Cricetulus griseus: one gene and its partners. The protein of the gene in region 3 interacts with the protein of the main gene of each other region in a biochemical or structural test. Links are inferred from orthologs where the notes say so. Each region holds a gene or a part of one and is shown on either strand. Other genes may lie near its edges.

Region 1 (4,252 bases), on a different chromosome or scaffold from region 3:
TGCCCACCCCACCACCAGGGAAGAGCCTGAGCAACTCCCATAACAGACCCATTGGCGGGTACATGTCCTTTTGTGTTTCTCATTGGTTAATTGTCTAAGGCTCCTCTCACAGTCCACCTATAAGCAGGGTCCCAGTGATACTTGGTCTTTAAGGCAAAGTGTCCATGGGTGGCCCCAGGGCAAAGGTGCCTAGGCAGTGAGGCTCCCCTGGTGAGCGGGTACAGAGGTGCCCTGCCACACTCACCTAGGTAACAACCTGTAGCAATGCATGGAGCCCCCTTTTAGGTTGCTTGAGCTCTGGTTCTGCCTCTGCCCCTTTGTCGCAGTTGCTGGCCTGGTCTCTGTGAGCCTGTGAGCAGAGCCTTGCCTGCACATCCATCTCCCCTCCTGCTGAACACACATGCAGTCACTTCAGCATGTGCATGCCCGCCCACCCCTCACCTGCCAACACCCTGGCCTCTGGCCATGGTACTGCTGCCAGTACTTTGAAAGATGGGATGCAGACTACAGACTCACGTGTCTCAGATTCACATGTGCTATCATTTGATGTGCTCTGATTGGCTAGTTTTTGGTTTGTTTTTACTGTATATTTATAGTAATAAAATCATGCAGCAATATTCTACGTGTGCCTTTGTTCAGGCACAGCACTGTGGGCAGGCAGTTGGTCCTTGATGTAGTGGCAGGACACTGTTTTCTGGTAGCTTACCTCTCGTGAGCAATTGGTGAATCTCAGCCTCCTGGGCAGGTTGTCCCAGTTCTTACACCCACCCCAGCTCTTCTGATATCTGCTGAGCACTAACCATGTGTCAAGAGGAGAACATGCTTAAATCTTTTTCATTAATTTATTTTTTATATTCCAATCTCAGTTCTCCCTCCCACCTCTTCTGCTCCCCCTACTCCCTCCCCCACCTCCCATCTGCTCCTCAGAGAGGATAAGGTCTCCCCTAGGAAGTCTACTAAGTCTGATCCATCATGTAGTTGAGGCAGGACCAAGGCATCTCTCCATCCCCACAACCCTGTGTCTAGGCTGGGCAAGGTATCTCTCCATAAAGATTGGGCTCTACTAAGTCACTTTGTGCATTAGTGTCAGAACTTGGACCCACTGCCAGTGGCCTCATATATTGTCCCAGTCACACCATTGTCACCTATATTAAGGGAGTCTAGTGCAGTCTAATGCTGGTTCCCCATTTGTCAGACCAGAGTCAGTGATCTCTCACTAGCTCGGGTCAGCTGATTCTGTGGGTTTCCCCATCGTCTTGACTCCTTTGTTCATATTATTGCTCCTCCCTCTCTTCAATTGTACTCCAGGAGCCTGGCCCAATGGTTAGTTGTGGATTTCAGCATCTGCTTCCATCTGTTTCTGGAGGAGGGTTCTAGCTTCTCTGAGGTTGTGGATTGTAGGCTGGGTATCTTTTGCTTTATGTCTGGTATCCACTTAGGAGTAGGTACTATATTTGTCTTTCTAGTTTTGGGTTACCTCACTCAGGTTTGGTTTTTCTAGTTCTGTCCGATGTTTAAATCTTTAAAGGCGTGGTTTCATAGGACAAATGGTGGAGCTACGAGCTCAGGGTCGAGGCTCGGGAAAATCTGCACCCTCAGAGATGAGGTGAAAATTGAGAGTTGCAGTGGTCCTCTCAGGGTTGTCCGGGACTCAGAGATGGCACGTATTGATGCTCATTGTACCTCCCTCTGATGACCTGGCTTCACGCGGTGCATCTTGGGAATTGTAGTTTTCTGGTCGGTGGGAGAGGTCTCCTATGCAGCTTGGAGGGTGGCAAACTCCACCCTCCCACCAGGGACTCCAGTCATCTCTGGGTTCAACCTCAGGCTCTCAGGATTGGTGGGGGCGGGCCTATGCACGTGGATGCACGTGGATTGGGCCTGTGTGTCGTGGGCGGGGTCGCGCATGCTCATTTGGGCGGTGGGCCTGGAGCGTATCAAGATGTCGACCGCGACGGTTCCAGAGCTAAAGCAGATCAGCCGGGAGGAAGCAATGCGCTTGGGGCCCGGCTGGAGCCACTCGTGCCACGCCATGCTGTATGCCGCGAACCCGGGGCAGCTCTTCGGTCGTATTCCCATGCGATTTTCAGTGCTGGTGAGGATCTGGGTGGGTGAGCGGGCGGACACAGGCTTGGGGTGCCCTGTGGACCCCACGTCATGATCTGACTTAACCTTGCAGATGCAGATGCGCTTCGACGGGCTGCTGGGCTTCCCCGGGGGTTTTGTGGACCGGCGCTTCTGGTCGCTAGAGGACGGCTTGAACCGGGTGCTAGGCCTGGGCTTGGGCGGCCTGCGCCTTACCGAAGCTGACTACCTGAGCTCACATCTGACTGAGGGTCCACAACGCGTGGTGGCACATCTATATGCACGGCAGCTGACACTGGAGCAGCTGCATGCTGTGGAGATCAGTGCAGTGCACTCGCGGGACCACGGTCTGGAGGTGGGACCACTGCCTGGGGACCGCCCCCATCCCCACTCCTGAGGTTTGGCTCTGGCACCACAGAAGGCACCGATGTGGTAACAAGTGCCCCTCAGGGTCCTCACCCTGGCCATGCTGAGTGGGAAGAGAGACTTGGGTTCTGGGTCTGGGGCTGTTTACATTTGCCTTGCTGCCTGCCATTGTCAATCCTGGGAGTGGAGCATGGGATCACTAGCATAAAGGGATGTCAGGAACTACTTGGGAAATTGAGGAAAGACCCAAAAGGCTTGGTTGTAGGGCTTGGGGTTGTCTCCTGAGAGGTAATGTAAAAAGCTTTTGGGGTTTGTGGATCCTCTGGTCTAAGGGATTTGGAGTGAGGCAAGGTATCATGGGTGCTGGCCAACAGGGTGGGGAGTTCATAGGCTTTACTGCTACCAGCCTTGCCTGGGTCTCCCCATCTCTTTGACAAACATCTCTGCCAGGGTCCTACCTCTATAAGGAGAGCCCAGTCCCACCCCATACCCTCTGTCCCACAGGTGCTGGGCCTTGTACGCGTCCCACTGTACACCCAGAAGGATCGAGTAGGCGGCTTTCCTAACTTCCTGAGCAATGCCTTCGTCAGCACTGCCAAGTACCAGCTCCTATTTGCCCTTAAGGTACTCAACATGATGCCCTCGGAAAAGCTGGCAGAGGCCTTGGCCTCGGCCACAGAAAAACAGAAGAAGGCCCTAGAAAAGCTGCTCCCAGCCTCATCCTGAGGAGGTTCCTGTGCGGTTCTTGCCCTCCCTTAGCTGTCTCTGCCCACAGGCCCTGGGATTCCCGAGAAGCGTGCCTTCTAGCTTGTTTGGTTTTGCACCCTTTCTGACTGCAAGGGACAAGCAGGCAGCTGTTCATCTTTATTGTCCCAAGCAGTCCCTGGGACCTAGCTACTCTCTCAGGTTGTTCAGTGGGGTAGCTTGGGCCTGACTTTTCAAGCTGAGTATGCCGTCACCCATCCCAGGGCTCAGACTGTCCTGTGTGAGTCTGTTTGTGACTGCTGGAGACCCAGGTAGAGCCCACTTTTCCAAGGCAACGACTTGATGGTACATGGTTCCTGGACTGGTCAGGGATTTCATTCAATGGAGGTGACCCGTGTTAGATCACTCCTTCCCTTGGCCCAGCTTGCAATAGGCTGTTCATTTGGGTTGTTGCTGGATTTCTGTTAGATTTTTCTTTCTTGGTGTGTGAACTGTGGGTTGGTTTCAGAGTGGCTATGCCCCACATGACTTGGTTCTCCCCAGCAGGGCTTTGGCTCAACTCTGTGGAATTGAGGAAGCAAGAAGACAATAAAGCCATTCCTCTGATGCTTACGTTTGCTTCTGGGTGGCATGGGTCCAAGAACATGACCAGCTTGAACCCTGAGGGCAACCAATCTGGCTAGTAGCTTGAGTTCAGACCTTGTGGTGGTAGCATAAATGAAGCACAGATTTCATGTGCAGAGGTACAACAGCACCACCACAGAATAGGAATGCCACTGCTGGCTGACTTCCAGCCTGTCCAGAAATAGTGATTTTAGGGCTTAGAACAGCCACCAAGCAGAGGAGAGATCTTCGAGCAAGGGATGTGGAGATCAGAAGGGGCTATAGATGGGTTATTAGGGTCTACTGGTGACAGCCAGGAATACATGTCTTATGATCATAAATGAGCCCCCACCAACTTACAAGAATTTTATTTTCCAACAAACAGCACATTTTCTAGGCACCCAGACCTAACCTTAAGACCAAACAAACCTCAGTATGGCACCTGCATGTGCAGGGACACACACTCTTCACAGTTCCGACTGGGCCAGAGCTG
Region 2 (4,256 bases), on a different chromosome or scaffold from region 3:
CAAAGAGGGAGGACAAGCTAGAGTGGGTTCCAAAGTAAGATCTAAGAGTCCTTGTGTGCTGACCCATCTTCATGGGAGCTCCTGAAAGAAGGGAGAAGGTGAGGACACCGTTCACCCGACACAACCAAAGCTGTGGTAGAAGCAACCTGGGCAAGCAAAGCTCCCCCACCTACACCTTCACTTCTAAAGCCAACAAGGTAAACACTTGAGTGTGTCCCCTTAACAGGCAGGAGGCTGGCCTGTGCCCCAGAATAGATCAAATGCCACCTACTCCCATCCACTCATGTTCCACATAACCAACTGCCCTGGCACTCTAGAGGGCTGATGTGTGCAGTGCAAACTATCACAGCACACTTCGTTGAAACTCTATCAACTTTCCTTTTTGGTTTGTTTTTTTGTTTGAGACAGGGTCTCCCTATGTAGCCCTGGCTGTGCTGGAACTCACTAAGTAGACCAGGCTCACTGAGATCCACCTGCCTCTGCCTTCTCAGTTCTGGGATTGCAGGCATGTGCCACAGGCCTGCCTCTGTCTCACTCCTTACAGGAGAGAATTCCGTGTATGATTTACACCCATCCTTCCACAAGGCTCTGAGACCAGATGTGTGCGGTGTTTACAGTGAGGAAACCAGAGGACGTAAACAACCGGCTCCAAACGACACTCTGGTTTTGCTGTACTTTTCTTCATTTCCTGTGTATTTATTTTGGTGTTAGAATAATATTACCTTTCATAATAAGGAAAACGGGAGCAGATGTTTAAACTAAACAGACGATAGCCTATGATCCCACACATCCACTCGGCTCTCAAAATCAAAGTCTGTTCTTCAAAACACTGAAGGAAACAAGACAACTAACTGCTGGCATACGTACTTTTCACAGAACCGCACGCCCACCTGGGGGAGCCGCTGAACTTCCTCCCTAGACACAAGGAACAAACCTGGTCCCAGTGTCCTGGCAGCTTCAGTGCACTTCACTGTTTTGTTTTTTTAAAAATATCAGATTACTTGATGACAAAGAAATCACATTAAAAAGTTTTCATCTTTTGTTGGGGTTGGGGTGCAGCTGTTTTTTAAAGACAATACATGAATCCCACCAGAAACCGCTTCTGAAAATCCAGCCTTTGAGATGAGGGAGTCTAGTTTCCTTACATGTAGAGGAAACTTGTCAAAGTAAAGTGGTATCTTATTTTAGAACAAAATAAAACAACAGCAACAACAATGAAAACAAAAAACTTTAAATATTATATTCTTTATATCCATAGAGTTAATTTTAAAACAAGTTTGAAAGAGAAAGGGTGTGTTTTCAACTGCTTTAAGAAACAGATCTGAAACTTTTACACAAAAATAACTGACTCTGCACCCCACTTTAACATCTGTCCATGAAAAAGCAAACAACCACTCAGTTTACCGTGAGAGAAAACACAGAGCCTGGGCCCCTAGAAGGAAAATGTGCCCTGATTCCTACATGCTTTTACCGGGAAAGACTCCCTGGCAGCCCTCGATCTCTCCCTGCCCTGCCAGTCCTGAAGCTCAACCAGGCCATTACCCTGGACTCAAATGGCACGTAGGTAAAATTTCAAAAGATGGAACTGAGGTTTTCTCTTCTTCCCCACTCCAGGGGATGTCCAGAAGAAGGGGAGGGGATGAGCAAGAAGAACCTAGGGATGGGGGCATTTTCCACTTTCTTTAGCCTTTTGGCAACAGGGTTGTGTAATCGCCTGGGGCTGGGGGTTGGAGGGAGCCAGTCTCACTGTCACAGGAAATGGGGCGGCAGACAAAGAGCAGGCCTGGGCTCCCTGACACCAGGCCTTGCCAGCCCCACAAACTCCACAAGAAAAAAAAAAAATCCTCAATGTCTGAGACAATGGCCCCGGAAAACAAAAACTCATTGTGGCTTTTTGTTGTTGTCCGTTCACCACACAAAATCCAGAGCAAGAGTACACACAGAATACTGTACACGGTGATGTATTTAAAAATACGTCTCAGAGCCCCTCCCCTCTGCTCTAACACCCACATGCTTAGCTTCTTGTTCCTATAAGTTCCTCCCCTACATAAAATGGCAACAAAATCAAAAAAGAAAAGAATTTAAAGTGTAACAATCTTGTCAGATCTTGTCAGTACACTGGAAGCAAACTTGTAACAATGTGTCCCCTCCAGCCCTTCCCGGCTGCCACTCTCCAGCCAGGCACCAGGAAACTGTCCTGAAATGGCACACAACTCTCTCTCTCTAGGCACTCCACCATCCCAAGAAAGACAAGAAATGTTCAGAAGCTGATCATACCCCCCCCCCAAGGAGGAGGGGCCGTTACAAATGTAAAAAAGAAGTCCATTCTGGAGCATCTACCTTCATAGCACAGAACACCGATGTTGTTGTTCATCTTGTCCAAGTACTGGTAGTTCAACAGGTCCATCTTCATAAACAGCATTTATCTGTTCGGCTAGCAAAGAAAAGCAGTTCTTTGCTTTCACCCCCGAAGAGAAAGTTTCAAAATTCAGCCTTAGCTGAGTAGCTCCAGGCTCTTCTAAAACTTCAGGAAGACAGAGGCCCAGCCTCACAAGATCAAAACAAAGTATGTAAAAGTTTTTTAAAAAGATCACGCACACACACACACAAAAAAAATCAGACTCAAACAAAACCCCGTCAAGGGCTTATTGGAAGGCAGTGTCTGTATTGCGTCCTCTACTCGGCTTTAAAAAATCATGTCAGCAGTCTTCCAAAGCCTGCCTTAAGGGTTTAAAAAGAAAGCAGTAAAAAAGAAAACCACGAAGCACATTTCTTAGGACAAAGGCACTCTCCCTCACAGCCCGCTGCAAGCTGACTGCTCTGACATGCTGGCTATGCTTGGTATGACTCGTATGTAAACCAGCTTCCTCTGCTTGGGGAGGTGGGGGCCGAGCATGCTCACTGGAGCCTCGGCACAGGCTCAGGATCTGGGCGCTTGCAGAGTTAGCAGGAAGCAGAAAGAGGAGGGGAAAGTGAGGCGCAGGGGGCAAGGAGTCTTTCCGCTTAGGAGCCAAAGGCTGCCAGAGTCCATGGAGGAAAACCCAGCAAGTTTTGCAGTGTTTTGTTTTGTTTTGCTAAGCACAAAGTTAAAAAAAAAAAATCTGCCGCGGAAGCGAACTACATGAAATTTAACTTTTGGGTGACTTCATTCCAGGGACTGGGAACCTAGGGCTTCCACTGGGGAGTGTTCTGATCAGTACAAGGTTTCTTTGTTTCTTTCTAAGATGGTTTTACTATGTCCAGGGCTATAGTGAGTGTTTACACTTTCAAAGTCAATGTACATGTAACTTCCTTCCTAAGCCCTGTAGCTGCACAGATAAAAGACAGGGCGCCAGAGACGAATCTTTCCACAGAAGAGGAAACTGGGGCCCCGACTAAGTGAGTAGTCTATAGACCCAGCCCCCCGACACACACACACACACACACACACACACACACACACACACACACACACACACACACACACACACACACACACACGGTGGGTGGGGGACACTATCTGAAGAGATGGCTGAGTGGCTAAGAGCACTGGCAGCTTTTGCAGAGGACGGAATTTCAGCACCCAACACTCACAAACTCCAGTTCCAGCAGATCTGACGCCCCTCTTCTGGCCTCCAAGGGCACTGCATGCACAGGGTGCACAGACATACACCAAGGAAAAATATCCATACACAAAATAAATAATAATTTTCGATGGGGGGTGGCAGGGTTTTTCTGTGTAGTCTTGGTTGCACTGTAACTCCCTCTGTAAACCAGGCTGCCCCCAAACTCACAGAGATCCACCTGCCTGTCCCTCCCACCACTGCCCAGCTTAAATAATAATTTTTAAAAGCCCAGTTGCTTCCCGAACTCATCTGGAAGGTTGTAATCAATCATGAAAACTTTCAAAGCACTCCAAGAAGCTCAAATACAAAGCAGCACTGAGCTTCATCTAAAAAGAAAACAGAACCTGCCTTAAGGAATTCCAACCTCCACCTGGCACTGTGGTGTGAGCCTCTATGTAATTCTAGCCCATCAGAGACTGAGGCAGGGGACCAACCATGAGTTCCAAGACTTATCTGGGCTACAGAGTAAAACCCATCCCACCTCCAAAAGACTTCATTGCATTCACTTACTTTGAAATGAAGAACTTTTTTTTTTAAGATTTATTTATTTATTATGTATACAGTTTTCTGTTTGCATGTGTCCCTGCAGGCCAGAAGAGGGCACCAGATCTCATTACAGATGGTTGTGAGCCACCATGTGGTTGCTGGGAA
Region 3 (3,643 bases):
ACACCCCGGCTGTTGTCACTTGCTTCTTAGCAGTGCCTGTTATTAAAAAGGTAAGGTGGGAGAGAAGGATGCTCAGGACCTGTGTGGGAGGCCCTACTTTCTGGGGACAGTGATTTGAGCTGGGGACAGTGGAGACACACCTTCCTGGGCCACCTTGCTGCCCAGGTCTCAGTCAACTTTACAGGTGACCATCATTGCCCAGCACTGCCCAACACTGCCCAGAATTGCCCAGTGCTGCCCAGCATTGCCCAACACTTCCCAACGCTGGCCAGCATTGCCCAGAAGACCTACTTCCTCACCCTCCTAACCCATACACTCACTGTATTCCCCACCCCTAAGCTAAGCCATCTCCACCACGTGCTGGCATTGAATCCAGCCTCACCAGGGCTGGCCAGCCCATCACTGCACTGGTCCTGGGCCTTCTCCTTCAAACAGCAGATACAGGAGCTTCACCTTCCCAGCCTTGTCCAGGAGCGTCCCTCCTGATGAACTGCCGGGATCCAGAGCCATGACCTCTCCTCTGAGAAGTTGTGTGGCATTGCCTACTCTCCCATTCTCTGCTGCCCTCCCTGGATCCAGAAAGGCTATGAGGGGCCTGAGGATGCAACACATGCTCTCCCCCAGTGCATAAAGAGAACTTCCTTGCACCACTTTTTAAAATGTGCTGGCCATCCTTATGTGATCTCCATCTGTCTATATGCAATGGGGGCGATAGTAGGAATGAATTAGTTTCTGATCTTATGGAGCCCAGAGTTCCAGGCTGTGCACTTGGTAACTAAGTATTACTGTGACTTCCTGATAGTTCCCAAATCTGTGGGCTCTTCTCTCTGTGCTGTTCTAGCTTCATTTCTTTAGAAAAGGAAAAAGAAGACTTGCAAAATAGGTATGAAATGACCCTTAGAGTCATTTATGGCCATTGCCCCAGAGGCAGGCCTGGGCAGCTGGGAACTCCCTGCACCAGAGCCAGGGGGAACTGGACACAAAGCATTATTGAAGGACCCCGATGGCCAGAGCCCTAGCCAGTGTGCACGTCCTGCCCTAGCAGAGAGAATAAAGCGGGCTCTGTGTGAGCCTCCTGTGCAGGGTGCCTGCCCCTGTGGAGGTCGTCCTGCAGAGGCCACACAGAGCAGACCCATGCGTTCTTGCACAAGCTCGCTCACATCCTGCCAGACGGACGTGGTGTTCCCCACGCTGGCCAACACAGCCAGGATCCAGAAAGACTTATGGCCTGTTTGCTCTGGCTGCTTTATTGACCTAAATCCTCAAGGTGGAGTTTGAGAAACTTTCTTAGGGCTCTCTACTGTGGATGTTGAGTGAGAGGCCACTCACTCCACTACCCTGACCAGACAGCCCACACTGCTATACACACACACACACACACACACACACACACACACTCCCAACAAAGTGGCTTTCTGCCATTCCCCCTGGTTGGAACAAGGCTGGACCCTGTTCTGTCCTGAACTCTAACTTGGTTCTGAGGCACTTTACATGCCCCACTGCACTCTGTGTCTGCTCAGGGAGATAACCTGGGAAGCCTGCATTTGGCTTTCTGCCTGCAACTTTGACCTCTGTCTAGTGACCTCTGGTGGGTAGCTACAGAGGAAGCCATGCTAGTGTCAGCATAGGCTTTTCAGAGTGTGTGTGAGCTCATGGGGCCAAGACACTCTCTCTGTGTGTGGAGAGTTAAGTTAGAAGCTGTTTCTTCTGGAAACATACGATGTCTACTTGATGGGAACAGTGGAGTCGAGGGTTGCAGAGATGAATGAGACTTAATCCTTCCTAGGCCAGTACAGTGCCAAGGTGGCAGTGGTGGGCACAGAGATCTGGGCTCTGCTTTGCTGGAGCACTCTACCTAGTGTGGGCAGAGTTCCTCATGCCTATCACAGCTGTCATGTTAATAAGATGTTTACAATAGGGAAAACATTCTGCCCTGCCTTCCAGTGAGGCCTTCATGGCATTCAGGAAAAGCAGCTCCCTGCTGCTCATGCAGCAAGGGATCAATCCCAGGTAGTGGCACCCTTGCCGGATGCCCTCAGCACTGTGGACACAGTTCCTCCCTGGCACACCCCTTGCCTTGCAACACCAAGGATGTATGGTGGCTCTGGTGGGGCCAAGCTACATCTTTTCTGGACCTAGGCCTGAGACTCCCGAACAGATCAGGATTTCAAAGCCCTTACTTCTCTGAGGCATTAAGAGAGATCATGTGCCCACTTGAGGCACACATGAAGATGGGTCTAGTGCCTGTGGTTTTTCTCCCAGAATGTGTGACCTGAAGGAGCTTCATGTGTCCCTGTCCCCTCCCCACAGAACTCCTTTCTGGTGCTGGCTGGCCTGGCTGATGGACTTGTGGCTGTGTTTCCGGTGGTACGGGGCACCCCAAAAGAAAGCTGTTCCTACTTGTGCTCGCACACAGCCAACAGGTCCAAGTTCTGTATCCCAGATGAAGATGCACGGCAGAACCCCTACCCAGTGAAGGCGATGGAAGTGGTCAACAGTGGGTCTGAGGTCTGGTACAGCAATGGCCCTGGCCTCCTCATCATCGACTGCACAGTCCTGGATATCAGCAGGCGACTGGAGCCCTTTGCAGCCCCTTCCACGGTCACATCAATTGTGTGCAGCTCAGACTGCAGAGGGGAGGAGGTGGTCTGGTGCCTAGATGACAAGGCCAATTCCTTAGTCATGTACCACTCAGCCACCTACCAGCTGTGTGCCCGGTACTTCTGTGGGGACCCCAGTCCTCTCAGGGACACGTTTCCTGTGCAGCCCTCAGTCCCAGAAGCCCCAGGCAGTCACATAGTCACCTCAAAGGAGCCAGAGGAAGAGTGCATTGCAGACGTGAGCATCATGTACAGTGAGGAGCTGGGCATGCAGATCCTGACCCACCAGGACTCACTCACTGACTACTGCTCCATGTCCTCCTACTCCTCGTCCCCACCCCACCGAGATCCCAGGTCCCCGTCCAGTCTGCCCAGCTCCCTGACCAGCTATTCCAGTGTGCCTTTCTCCACTGATTATGAAGATCCAGACAGGCCCAGCGTCACTTCTGACAGATCTGAGCCTGACCTGACCCCCATGGATGGGGAGACGTTCAACCAACACCTGCAGGCTGTGAAGGTTCTTGCTGTCAAAGACCTCATTTGGGTCCCCAGGTAAGTGTTTTTGAGTGGGGGTGCCATTTCTGAGCTGTCCAGTGCTCTTGTTTTGGGGCCGAAGTGAGTGGAACCCATGGCTTCTTGAAAGATTTGCAAATCCATCTGGGCAGTTCTCCCAAGAAGTCTTTGCCATTTGCTTTTAGAATTAGGAGTGATAGCTGGGCAGTGGTGGTGTACGCCTTTAATCCCAGCACTCCTCTGGAGGCAGAGACAGGAGAATCTGTGTGAGTTCAAGGCCAGCCTGGTCTACAGGGCCAGTGCCAGGACAGGCTCCAAAGCTACACAGAGAAACCCTGTCTCAAAAGAAAAAAAAAAAAAAGAATTGGGAGTGATCTCCAAGCAAATATAAGAAGCTCACCTGTCCATCAGAAAATTCAAGGTGCCCCCAAAACAAGAACCATGCTCAGGTTTCCTATAGAAGGTCTTTCCCTGTGTCACACCGCCTCCACTCACTCTCTTCACAAAAACTTCAGGCTCTGTACCTACCT

The links.
Region 1: the proteins of Lrrk1 (region 3) and Nudt16l1 form a complex in vitro, tested with the Homo sapiens proteins (2 studies listed by BioGRID and IntAct, with this or other methods). The link is inferred for Cricetulus griseus from reciprocal best matches to the Homo sapiens genes LRRK1 and NUDT16L1.
Region 2: the proteins of Lrrk1 (region 3) and Vgll4 form a complex in vitro, tested with the Homo sapiens proteins (2 studies listed by BioGRID and IntAct, with this or other methods). The link is inferred for Cricetulus griseus from reciprocal best matches to the Homo sapiens genes LRRK1 and VGLL4.

What each region holds. Positions count from the first base shown.
Region 1 is NC_048600.1:41,753,718-41,757,969, reverse strand, and holds Nudt16l1 (tudor-interacting repair regulator protein), read left to right. Parts: upstream 1-1,386; 5' UTR 1,387-1,864; coding exon 1,865-2,095; intron 2,096-2,179; coding exon 2,180-2,440; coding exon of another isoform or gene 2,441-2,482; exon of another isoform or gene 2,483-2,517; intron 2,518-2,955; coding exon 2,956-3,177; 3' UTR 3,178-3,768; downstream 3,769-4,252. UniProt on the Homo sapiens protein: Key regulator of TP53BP1 required to stabilize TP53BP1 and regulate its recruitment to chromatin.
Region 2 is NC_048601.1:29,921,129-29,925,384, reverse strand, and holds the start of Vgll4 (transcription cofactor vestigial-like protein 4), read right to left. Parts: upstream 2,867-4,256; 5' UTR 2,423-2,866; coding exon 2,341-2,422; intron 1-2,340. UniProt on the Homo sapiens protein: May act as a specific coactivator for the mammalian TEFs.
Region 3 is NC_048596.1:131,008,263-131,011,905, forward strand, and holds part of Lrrk1 (leucine-rich repeat serine/threonine-protein kinase 1), read left to right. Parts: coding exon 1-50; intron 51-2,310; coding exon 2,311-3,152; intron 3,153-3,643.